Linked DNA regions of Saccharomyces cerevisiae S288C. Changing the gene in region 1 together with any one later gene gives a genetic interaction. Each region holds a gene or a part of one and is shown in the gene's direction. Other genes may lie near its edges. The genes, in order: BMT2, CIN4, DFP2 and PIR5.

The links.
Region 2: mutations in BMT2 (region 1) and CIN4 together harm fitness more than expected from each alone (negative genetic interaction), as found in Saccharomyces cerevisiae (2 studies listed by BioGRID).
Region 3: mutations in BMT2 (region 1) and DFP2 together harm fitness more than expected from each alone (negative genetic interaction), as found in Saccharomyces cerevisiae (2 studies listed by BioGRID).
Region 4: mutations in BMT2 (region 1) and PIR5 together harm fitness more than expected from each alone (negative genetic interaction), as found in Saccharomyces cerevisiae (2 studies listed by BioGRID).

What each region holds. Positions count from the first base shown.
Region 1 is NC_001134.8:526,454-529,620, reverse strand, and holds BMT2 (25S rRNA (adenine2142-N1)-methyltransferase), read left to right. Parts: upstream 1-1,582; coding exon 1,583-2,596; downstream 2,597-3,167. Other genes in the region: MAK5 (ATP-dependent RNA helicase), read right to left, coding at 1-1,304; GTPase-activating protein IRA1, read left to right, coding at 2,993-3,167. UniProt on the Saccharomyces cerevisiae protein: S-adenosyl-L-methionine-dependent methyltransferase that specifically methylates the N(1) position of adenine 2142 in 25S rRNA.
Region 2 is NC_001145.3:543,271-546,274, forward strand, and holds CIN4 (Arf family GTPase CIN4), read left to right. Parts: upstream 1-1,884; coding exon 1,885-2,460; downstream 2,461-3,004. Other genes in the region: DNA cross-link repair protein PSO2, read right to left, coding at 1-1,693; serine/threonine protein kinase RIM11, read left to right, coding at 2,855-3,004. UniProt on the Saccharomyces cerevisiae protein: Implicated in yeast microtubule function.
Region 3 is NC_001133.9:184,599-187,095, forward strand, and holds DFP2 (DUP240 family protein), read left to right. Parts: upstream 1-1,722; coding exon 1,723-1,947; downstream 1,948-2,497. Other genes in the region: KTD1 (DUP240 family protein), read left to right, coding at 294-998; pheromone-regulated DUP240 family protein PRM9, read left to right, coding at 2,238-2,497.
Region 4 is NC_001142.9:117,383-120,674, reverse strand, and holds PIR5 (beta-1,3-glucan linked protein), read left to right. Parts: upstream 1-1,849; coding exon 1,850-2,713; downstream 2,714-3,292. Other genes in the region: heat shock protein HSP150, read right to left, coding at 1-226; FMP33 (Fmp33p), read right to left, coding at 2,888-3,292.

The sequences.
Region 1 (3,167 bases):
ACTTTTGACTCAGGATTTGTATCTATTATAACCGGCTTTGAGTTGAAGTGAATTTTGCTCATTAAGTGTTGTATTACGGCATTTAGCTCATCTTCGTTGTTTTTAAACCTTCTATCCTTAACTTGACGGGAAGAAGATAGCTTATCAAACAAGTCGATGGAGAATGTTGCAGAAAAGATCAAAGTTTGCCAAATTTTGCTACTGCCCTCGGAGTTTTCTCTGTTTTTCCTTCTTTCTACTAATAAATGTTTAATGATTTTTTCGAACTCGTCGAAATGACCGTCTTGTAACAGCCTATCAGCCTCATCAAGGATTAGCGTATTTACTTTCGAGAATCTTTTGATTAAAGTGTTGTCTTTTTCCAACAGTTCCAAAAATCTACCTGGTGTTGCGATGACAATTTGGCCACTATTATCGTACTTTAATAGACGTTGTTGTTTTTGGATAGAGAGTCCACCTGTCAAAGATAATATCGAGTACTGAGATTTCGCTAGAACAGGCTCACAGATCTTTTTTAAGTGGTCTGTGACTTGATGCGCCAGTTCTCTTGTAGGAGTAAAGATTAACGATATTGGTTTCTTGTTTTTCTGAGAGAAGTTACTGATCAGTTTCTCTACAATTGGAATACCATAGGCTAAAGTTTTACCTGAACCTGTAGAGGCTTTCCCCATGACGTCTACGCCTTGCATAATAACTGGAATAGACTTTTTTTGAATTTCTGTAGGTCTGAGAAAATTTAAATTCTGCAAGCTCTGCAAAATAGTCATTGAGAGAGGTGCAAGATTCGTCCATTCAGGTAAATTTACAGGAGAAATATCATCGATATTAATGTCTTTGTTAAAGACGTTTTCTTTCAAAACATCCTCATCCACATCCTCATCCACATCCTCACTGGGATCGGTTAACTTTGAACTCTCAATATTACCTTGCTCATCCTCGTCGGATGATGAATAAGATGCTGCACTCAACTCTCCTTCTTTAATATCGTCCAAGTTCTTGAATTCAAGGAGCTCGGACTCCGAATCTGACCCTGATTCATTTTCCACAGATTCCTGATCATCTCCGACTTTTTCCTTATTGCTATCTTTTAACACTTTTGAATCTTTTTTGGTGACGAAAGTTACTTTACCATCCACGACTTTAACGTCCACTCCGTCAATTTCTTCCAAGCCATAAAATCCACCAAAGTCATCTAAAGTGTCCGGAATATCTACTGGTTTCCAGTTCAATTTGGATTCATCTACAATTATCTCCTGTGGCTTTGTGACCGTTTTTCCTTTTTGAGGAGCCCTTTTCTTACCCATGATGGAAAAACTGATTATGCCGGTATTTGACTAAAGAATTTCTACCTGAGGTTATGATGATAATGATGGGCAGGTTGGCGAATATAACTTTTTTAGATGGAAATTCTTATAAGCTCATCGCTGGAAAAGTTTTTCAGAGAAAAAGAAAAGTACGGACTAACTAACCTTGAGGCGGGTTTGTGAGGTGAAAAAAAATATAACAATTATAATATCGATGAGCTAGCCATGACCTTGATGGCAATCTTGTATCAGCTTAGCGATACCACTAATACAGCGGAATGCATTCAAGAAAGTCGAAGAGTATTACGGGCAAGAGGAAGCAAGTAGGAAGTAACGTGACGAGAGTAATCAAGCCACAGAAGACAAGAAGGATAATAAGAAGATTCCACCATTTAATTAATAAGCGTCAATCGATATGCAAGTTTTTATGCCTTAAGGAAAACCTAGATGATTCCAACGAGGAGAAGAATGACAAAATTATCAGGTTAAGTATTAAAGGTAATGTAAGACTGGGCAAGTACTATGAAGACGGCAAATCGCAGTCCTTCAATGATGCTATGGAATCACAACTACTGAGGCTGCACTCATTAATTAAAAATGAATCCAAATCAAAGGATACTTCTGACTTGGCTGTGATGTACACATTACTTGGTTACATAATGAATCAGATTAATAAATTGGGAGGACTAGAAACTTACCAAATTGCCAGTCAAAACGGGCAATTGAAGGAACGAGGAGGAGACACGTCCAAGTTGCTCGAGAAATGGATCAGGTCCTCATTTGAAAATTGTCCTGGAGCAGTGGCATTAGAAATTGGTTCATTGAGCTCCGGAAATCGCATATCCCGTTGTGCACTTTTTAGAAATGTGGTTCGTATAGATTTAGAGGAACATGAAGGCGTTATTAAGCAGGATTTTATGGAAAGACCGCTACCGAGAAATGAAAACGACAAATTCGACCTGATATCATGCTCTCTAGTGCTAAATTTTGTCAAAAATCACAGGGATCGCGGTGCAATGTGCCATCGCATGGTCAAATTTCTCAAGCCGCAAGGCTACATCTTTATTGTTCTGCCACAAGCCTGTGTGACGCACTCAAGATACTGCGACAAAACACTGTTACAAAACCTCCTCGGCTCTATCGGGCTCATAATGCTTAATAGCCATCAAAGTAATAAGTTGTACTATTGTTTGTATCAATTGCAGGTAGTTCCACCGCAGCCGAGTAGCTTTTCCAAAAGAATCAAGGTTAACGACGGCCCTGGGTTGAACAATTTTGGTATTACCCTCTAAGCGAGCCGACACCGCCTGGAAGTTTTTCATAAAGGGATACAATATAGAAAGATGTGTAAAAACGTTAAGTAAAAGATGAGCAAATGAACAGTGTTCGAAGGAGAATAACAAGAGTTACTGCTCATATAAAACTAATATACTAAAGGTTTTCGCTTTGTATTACGATTGAAACAATTAACTGTTTTTTTTTTTTCCGCTTATTACACAGTACCGGTTTCATTTACGCCTTTGATCATTTTATTGGCATTGGGCTCATAGTAGTTTTCAGCGCGTGGTTAAGCTATTTAACGAAAGCGTATAAAGTCAAGTGATCATCTTTTGCCCTGCAAATAGAGCTTCAAACTTAACATTCTTCTTCAGCATATAACATACAACAAGATTAAGGCTCTTTCTAAAATGAATCAAAGCGATCCGCAAGACAAAAAAAATTTCCCAATGGAATACTCTTTGACCAAGCATCTTTTTTTTGATAGGCTTCTACTTGTTCTTCCCATAGAATCTAATTTGAAAACATATGCTGATGTGGAGGCAGATTCAGTTTTCAATTCGTGTCGGTCCATCATTTTGAATA
Region 2 (3,004 bases), on another chromosome or scaffold:
CACTCATTTCATTCTCATCATCATCGTTTTTCTTTTGATATTTTAAACCAAAATTGTGACTCCACCCGGTAGGTATAAACCCGACAACATCTTCAATGTCTTTCACATAGTCTGTTTCCAATTCTTTTAAACTTTTCAAGTAAGCTTCTATGGTTTCTTGACTTTTCAACACTCTTATAGGTACCAAATGTACGGATGATTCATGTAAATTGCTGGTGAGTAAGCTTTCGTCCCACATGTCATTTTGATTTTCGTTGTTTTGTAAAACTGTTAGCATCATTGAAAATTTAACGGAATTCGGCATAACAAATAATTTTGTTTTCAAAAATTCACATATCTTGATGGCTAGCTTCTCTTTTCCAATAGTATATGTTCCCACAAGAAATAGGACCCTGTAACGATGAGTTGTCAATGTTTTCTTTCTCTGAAAGTGAAAAAGGTTCCTTTGTGAATCTCCAAATGTTTTGTTTTTACCATGTTTTATAAGCCGTAATGTAAAATCAGCCACAGTCTCGCACACAGAATGTTGTGAAGGAAAGTTGTATCCCATAGTCATATATGTTGTATCTAAATAAACTTGGTCAATAGTTTCATTCGCTGTCTCGGCCAACCACTTCTGAATTGTCTCAATCATTTTGGCGTTGCTTCGAAAATCCCCCGTGTGAAGAATTTGTCTTATAGGCTTATCATACGAATTTGCCAGAAACTCCTGGAAAAGCATTATTATTGCACCGGGACAATGGTTAGCGTCCAACGTAACTACTGAAATGGTATCTGTTATCCAAAAGCGTTTATTCATGGGTAAAATTTGGATTTCATCCATTGGAATTTTGAATTTTAAATTTACTAATATTGCAGTGATCTTAGAACAGTAAAGTGTTTTCTTGATCGGATTCTCATCAGGATTGTTCCAAGATTTTTTGAGTCCAATATAGTGATCAGAATGAAAATGAGAAAGAAAGTACTGAGAGATAGTCTCGCTGGCCTTATAATTGAAACCATCCACAACTATTTCGTGGCCATTATTGAACTTAATTATCTTGAAACTTGGTAAAACAAGTTTTACTCTTGTTGGTTTTTTTGACGTAGCTATATCCCTCTTCGTTTTTGCAGGAGATGATGGATTAGAAATAAAGCTCCTGATATTCTTTTTAGGTGTTCCCATATTGCTCGGGTCACTGCCTATGCAAGTATCACAGTGTGTCTCTCTTTCGTACAATTCTAAATGAGAAAGGTTTTCTAGACAAATAGGACATTGAATAACTTCTGTAGAGACTTTAACATTTACTTGCTCCTCCAATTCCGTTACTATTCGATCTTCGGTCCTATTTTCTATTGCGCTGACTTCGTTATCATGCAAGCTAACTAGTTCTTCCTCGTCTGTGTCTATGGTGATTTCGACCTTTGCAGTGTCTTCAAGGCAAATGCTATTGTGATCGTCATCGTTAATAATTACTGGCTCTGTATTCTTATTGGATGTTGAACAACTGAACCTTGAGAATGAATATGAACTGGAACGGACAGGTAAGTTCGATGAAGTTGGGATGTTGAATTCTGTCAAAGTTCTCTGCCTTTTAGAGGATGTATGTGTGTTCTTATGAAGAGTTTTCCCCTCACTTGTACTGCTAGCGGTGCTACTTCGTTTCCGCTTTACTTCAGATCTTCTTATTTGCACTATAGATTTCCTTGACATAATCAACCGACCACCCAAATTAGTCACTAGTGCGTATGCTGCTTAACATGAGTTTTGACGCAGGTATTTGATTATGTTTATATTGCTATTTTACTAGTACTTTTTCAGTCCGTTTCCATGACAAAATCTAAAAAGCCATCGCACTAATTTATAAAGATAATAAGAGGGAAGCTTAAGGTGTAGAAGAATACATGGGACTACTAAGTATTATCAGGAAACAGAAGCTCAGGGACAAAGAAATTCGCTGTCTGATTCTAGGACTAGACAATTCGGGGAAGTCAACGATAGTAAACAAACTATTGCCCAAGGATGAGCAAAATAACGATGGTATAATGCCTACTGTGGGTTTTCAAATACATAGTCTGATGATAAAAGATGTGACAATATCTCTATGGGACATTGGGGGGCAACGCACATTAAGGCCATTTTGGGATAACTATTTTGATAAGACACAAGCGATGATATGGTGTATAGATGTGAGCCTTTCAATGCGGTTTGACGAAACCTTGCAAGAACTAAAAGAATTAATCAATAGAGACGAAAATCGAATAGGATACGAGTGTGCTGTTATCGTTGTGTTGAACAAGATTGATTTAGTGGAGGACAAGTCCGAGCTTCATCGAAGGTGTTTACTGGTAGAGAGCGAGTTGAAGTGTCTGTTCAAGCCGGACATCCGAATAGAGCTCGTCAAATGTAGTGGCGTTACCGGAGAAGGTATTGATAACCTGCGTGACCGTCTGGTGGAATCCTGCCATTTTACCCAATAATCGTCTAAGATGTGAGCACCATATAAAAACTTTAAATAATGTCAGTATTTATAGCGTGATAGTTCATTACCCGCCGACTGTGCGCATTCGTGGCTTCTGCTCACTCCGGATAATAATACTACCAAGGGGTTCTGTAAGGCTTGCGGGTTACAAAGCACGGGTCCATTGAAGATCTTACACAAGAAGGAGTGGTAGGAAGACCAGCAGATTATTTCCAATCGGTCGTTGCCATTGTCTTATTTCCTTTTCTTTCTGGCGCATTGCATTTTAACACCTTTTTTTCCAGAATAGCCAACCACCGACGTCTGATTCACACATTACTGGGCAAGATCTTGACATAGCATTACATTACAACACGGCAACACTAATCACGCAACGCTAGAACTCGCGCAGGATGAATATTCAAAGCAATAATTCTCCGAATCTCAGTAATAACATAGTGTCAAAACAGGTTTACTACGCCCATCCTCCACCTACGATAGACCCGAATGATCCGGTGCAGATATCTTTCCCTACCACCGAAGTAGTTGGGCATGGTTCGTTT
Region 3 (2,497 bases), on another chromosome or scaffold:
CGCTCGAAACAAATTTTATGTAGTTTACTTTAGATGCAAATGCTATTATATATTTTGCTTTATGATCCTCGGCTTGATGCTCGCCAACGTGAGATAGCTGGTCATCACAATAGATCAGCCGGGACGCTTTTCGATCACATCGAATCCCTTCGGGACGTTGCAACAATACGTGAAAAATGCCTCAAAAATAATAAATACAATGGTGAACAACGTTAAAAAAGCATAAAACAGCTGGCTATTTTGATCAGGATAACATCTATAAGTGCCATATTAAGGCAAGATATCAATTGACCATGCAAACACCTTCAGAAAATACCGACGTAAAGATGGATACTCTCGACGAACCCAGTGCACATTTAATCGAAGAGAATGTAGCTCTTCCCGAAGACACATTCAGTTCACATCTGAGTTATGTACTTTATGAAATTGCTCATTGTAAACCGATCATGTTTATGATCATCATAATCGTGAGTTTGATCTCATTGATTGTGCTTTTTCATGATAACGACGGGTGCACTGTGATCTTAGTGATGTCCCTTATAGTAGCCTCCATGGCTTTAATGGTGGTTGCAGCATTCACATTCGGGAAAGCGATCACTGAACAGGAGTTCATGATAAAGCTTTTAGTGGAGGTGATCGCACGCAAGCCTGCGGGGAAGGAATGGGGTACTGTCGCATATAATATGAACCAATATCTATTCATGAAGAGACTATGGTATACCCCGTACTATTTCTATAGCGGCAAGAAGTGCCATGAGTTCTTCACCACTCTTATCAAGGAAGTGAATTCTGGTTCGCACTCGGATTCCTCATCGAATAGTGCCGAGGATACACAATCACCTGTCTCAGCAGGGAAGACTTCAAATGGTCTAAACAACTTTTATAGTATTAGATCAGACCCTATTTTGATGGCATATGTTTTGAAGGCAACACAAATAGAAAAGGAGGCTCAAAGTGAATACTGGAGAAAGCAATATCCTGACGCTGATTTACCTTGAAGCGGAAGCATTTTATTCACCAAGTATACTTACTTTTCTTTAAAACGAGAACAAGAATCGAATTCAAGAACATCTCGAAGCCAGAATTGAGCATCATATATTCGAGCTGTACAAACATCATGGCCTACAACTATCGTATTTGTAAGTTTTTTTAGAGGTTTTCATATTTGTTTAATAAGGGTTCTGTCAGTTTTTGTCACATTCTATTGTTGCGCTTCGCATAATGCAGCCAAGAAAATCCAAACAATAGAAAAAGAAAAAAAGGATCTCAAAAAGGGTTTGGTGTTGTAGTTATAAGAATAACTAGTGAATAAAAAAGCTGTTGTTTGGTCCGTATTACATTCGTCAAAAATTTAGTACTCAAATCGTGTATGCAATCGCAACCACAAAATAAAAATATTAGACTGGATGTGTTGAGTGGAGATGGTGCCAATTTAGTTGAGGGAAATGTGGTCCTTCCCAAAGACATGTTCAATTCGTACTTAAGTTATTCACTTTACGTGTTACGAGGGGGCTCATTGTAAGCCGATAATGATTATGTTCCTGGCATCTGTAATTTTGATTTCACTGACTAATTTCCGAGTATACCATCTCATGTCCCTTCTATCCTCTTTTTTCATCTCCGGGACAGACCGACAATAAAGCATCTAATATTAGGCTTTCGTTAGAGGTAAGCACACGCCAGCGTTCGGTGAAAGGGGAATGAAACATTATCACGTACAAGATGAATAAATATCTATTTGACCATAAAATATGGAGTACTCCTTACTACTTTTATTGCGAAGAAGATTGCCACCGTCTTTTTCTAAGTTTTATTGAGGGAAGAACTTTCGAGAAGCCAACAAGCAACGCTGAGGAAAATGTACAGGAGACTGAAGCTGGCGAATCTTTCACATTAAATCCCGGAGAAGATTTTCAAAATTGCTTTCCAAGACAGCGGATATTGTAGAACAATCTCAAGTGAAGTATTGGCAAGATATTGGTGCAATTATTTGAAAGGAAGGAGAAATATTCTGACAGTACCTTGCTAGCAAAGGGATTTACCAATCCACTGACGCTAAAATGGGGTAGTAAATTAGATAAATTGCATTCTAACGTGACTTTATATAGTGGGAAACAGATATGTAGCACACAAAACGGCATGATTATGCTTAATTGATTCCTATTTTTTAACGTAAATACTCTCCCAGAACGATCAGAAAACTTAACCCGCAACCATCTTTGCTGTGCTAACAACTTATGTCGCCTCAATACCATTTTTATTTTGTATCATTCCGGAACTTAGTATTGAATGAAAAATGCCTCCGAAGTAAAAAGCAGGTGATGAAAAGTTTCAATTGGTATAAGACAGATCGCTATTTTGATCCGCATAACATCCTTCAACACCATAGCAGAGCTATAGAGAAGACAAGATATAAACTGGGCATGCAAACATCTTCAGAAAGTACCGACGCCAAGTCGGATTTTCTCGACGAACCCAGTGCATATTTAATTGAGAA
Region 4 (3,292 bases), on another chromosome or scaffold:
GGGAAGCAGCTCTCTTGGCCTTAGATGAGGCTGTGGTGGCTGCAGATGATGCGCTGGATGTAGTGGAGATTGGTTGAACGGCAATACCGAAGGTGGAAGCGTAGTCGGTAACACCACCGCTGTAAGTGGCTGTTGGAGTCAAAGTGGACCAAGGCTCAGATGGAGCATAGGCGGCCAATGTAGTAGCGGCCAAAGCAGAGGCAACCAAAGTCTTTTTGTATTGCATTATATTATTATTATTGTACTAGGGTTAGAAAAGGAATATGAGTTTCTTATTGATATTTTTTTGAGCTTTGAGGTAAAAGGAAGGACATAATCGAAATTGATTGTCGTTAGACTTCAAGTGTTCCTTTTATATCTCGAGGATTCCTACCATTCAAGCTAATAAATTTTTCACCAACCATTCCTTTTTTAGGATCTTTCTTATTTTGACCAAAATCTAAATTTAGCTCAAAATGTGGTGTTCCGCTTGAGAAAACACTCATTTGTACTATTAGTTTTCCTGATCTGGTAAAGAAATGAAAAATTAGGCTGAGTTGGCGACTTATCACTACAGACGGAAAGCCATTAATGAGCTTTTTTGTCTTTAATAATTTCCGAAATAGGAAATAGTAAGATCACTTAATATGAATAACTCCCAAGAATTACCATTTACGGCCCCTTCCAATAGAGGTGGGAAATGTGTATGTGCATTGTGAGGGTCGCCTAATTGGGCAGAAGGGGGGAGAAATGAGCGTGGCAAAGCAGTGAGATTGACTCGTTTTGCGGCCAGCAACGTGTTGGACATGGCGGACCTGCCTGCATTAATTATAGCACAAAGCCTATCATTCATCGCATCCTTGTGCAAGTTCTAAGTTCACCTCCATATGGATTAGCGGCCAGGATAATGGAAAAAATTTACCATACTTTTTTTTGCAGAATAGATCAACAGTTTGGTGCATTTGTTCCTTCTTGTTTTTTTTTTGCTTGTTTTTACAATTTTTACTGTTTTACTATGAACTGATGGCTGGTATAGTGACAGAGTTTCTACTTTTTTGCTACTTAGTAGACTACTATACTAACTAGGACATATGTTGTTCGTAACGGTAAATGCACTTAAAGTATTTTACTGTTTTTAATTGGATTTGCTTGTTGTAGTAATTTTTGGACTGATTTCGGTCAATCGCTATTTTAATTTTTACTGTTCCTTGCATCTTTTACTAATCCGAAATTAGCTCAGCTCAAATTTGTAGTTTACTAAAGTACGCTTTTCCTAAAAGACGAAAACACAAATATAGTGAAGACATTATCCGACTTTTTTGCCAAAAAGGGACAAAGCACGAAATTAAGTAAAACTGTGGTAAAAACTACAGAGGAACGTCGCATTGGCTAGCAAGGATCTATTGTTACTCTATCAAAACCCCTTTGCCAAGCTCACATATCCTATTTGCCGTTCCTGAAGGCATCCAACTAGGCTTGATATCATCTTACTTATATAGTGGGCTTCTGCTCCTTAACCTGATCAATTTCACCTCTAATTTTGTAGGATTCCTGAGAAAATACAGAAATTCTAACGTTCCTCTGATATATTACGAGTGAATCATTGGGTATATATAAGAGAAGTGGAGTAACAAAAGCTGTAGAAAGTAAGTTACACAGAGTCACAAAAGAATATCGACTTTTTGTGCAAGAAAATTCGACTGTTTTGACTCACAAAATTATTCTTTTTGCGAAAGAGTGGGGAAACGAAAACAGTTAAAAGAGTAAAATAACTTGTATACATATACTTATCTTCTTGTTTCGAAATTTCTGTTTAGTCTCGATTTTTTAATTCTATACAACTTACTGAAGAAGTGAACACCGCCCCAATATGCATTACAAGAAAGCATTTCTAGCATCTCTATTAAGTAGTATTGCGCTAACTGCGTACGCTCCACCTGAACCCTGGGCAACTTTAACTCCAAGCTCTAAAATGGATGGTGGCACAACAGAGTACCGGACCTCATTCGGTCTCGCTGTTATACCTTTCACCGTTACTGAAAGTAAGGTCAAAAGAAACGTCATTTCACAAATTAATGACGGTCAAGTGCAAGTAACGACACAAAAATTACCTCATCCAGTTTCGCAAATTGGAGACGGCCAAATACAAGTTACAACGCAGAAGGTGCCTCCAGTAGTGTCACATATTGTGTCACAAATAGGCGATGGTCAATTACAAATAACTACAGCTAAAAATGTTGTCACAAAGTCCACAATTGCTGTTCCAAGTAAAACTGTAACTGCGACAGCAACTTCAACCGCAACTGCTGTTTCTCAGATTCATGATGGTCAAGTGCAAGTTACTATTTCTTCAGCCAGTAGTAGTTCTGTGCTTTCCAAGAGTAAGTTAGAGCCAACAAAGAAACCAAATAATGAAAAAGTGATCAAGGTGCAAGCCTGTAAAAGTTCTGGCACCTTGGCAATAACGTTACAAGGAGGTGTTCTTATTGACTCCAGTGGTAGAATTGGATCGATAGTAGCAAACAGACAGTTCCAATTTGATGGTCCACCTCCACAGGCGGGCGCTATTTACGCTGGCGGCTGGTCGATAACGAAGCATGGCACTTTAGCTATTGGTGATAATGACGTGTTTTACCAATGTCTGTCGGGCACTTTCTATAACCTTTACGATCAGTCTATCGGGGGCCAGTGCAATCCCGTTCATTTACAAACAGTTGGTCTCGTCGATTGTTGAATCACCAACATTATAATCTTGCAGGTCTTGATTGTACTTCAAAAATATAACTAAAATAATAGTATAAAAGTAAGTCTGTCTTACTATGTATGGGGCGCGTTATAATTTTACGTATTCACAAACGAGTTTTCATTTACTTCATCGTTTTTATTTTCGGAGATGTTGCCTTCTGCATTACTCAAAGCGCACTCCAGCTTTTTCCAGCTGTTTCATCCTAAGTTTAAGTGCCATATAAATCAACGGTGGGAACCCTAAAACACTAACGACACTTCCCTTATAAAGAATGGATTTTTTGCCTAAGGTGGAATTGCCTATTAGGCTCGAAAGTTGAATGAGAAACCCCCAAACAATCGAAAATTGAGAGACATCACTGTACGTCAAAGAATGAAGTACTTTATGGAGGTCACTCTTTTGTAAGTCAAGCTCTTTCTCTTGATAGGTATCAAGTGCTGGCTTGAATATTCTATTGGGAGCGTCATGGACTATATTTACAATGTCGTCTTCTGCGATGGCATGGGGATCTTCTTGCTCTTTGGACTTATTCAAGCTATTTGATTCTAGATATAGGCATGCCAGACC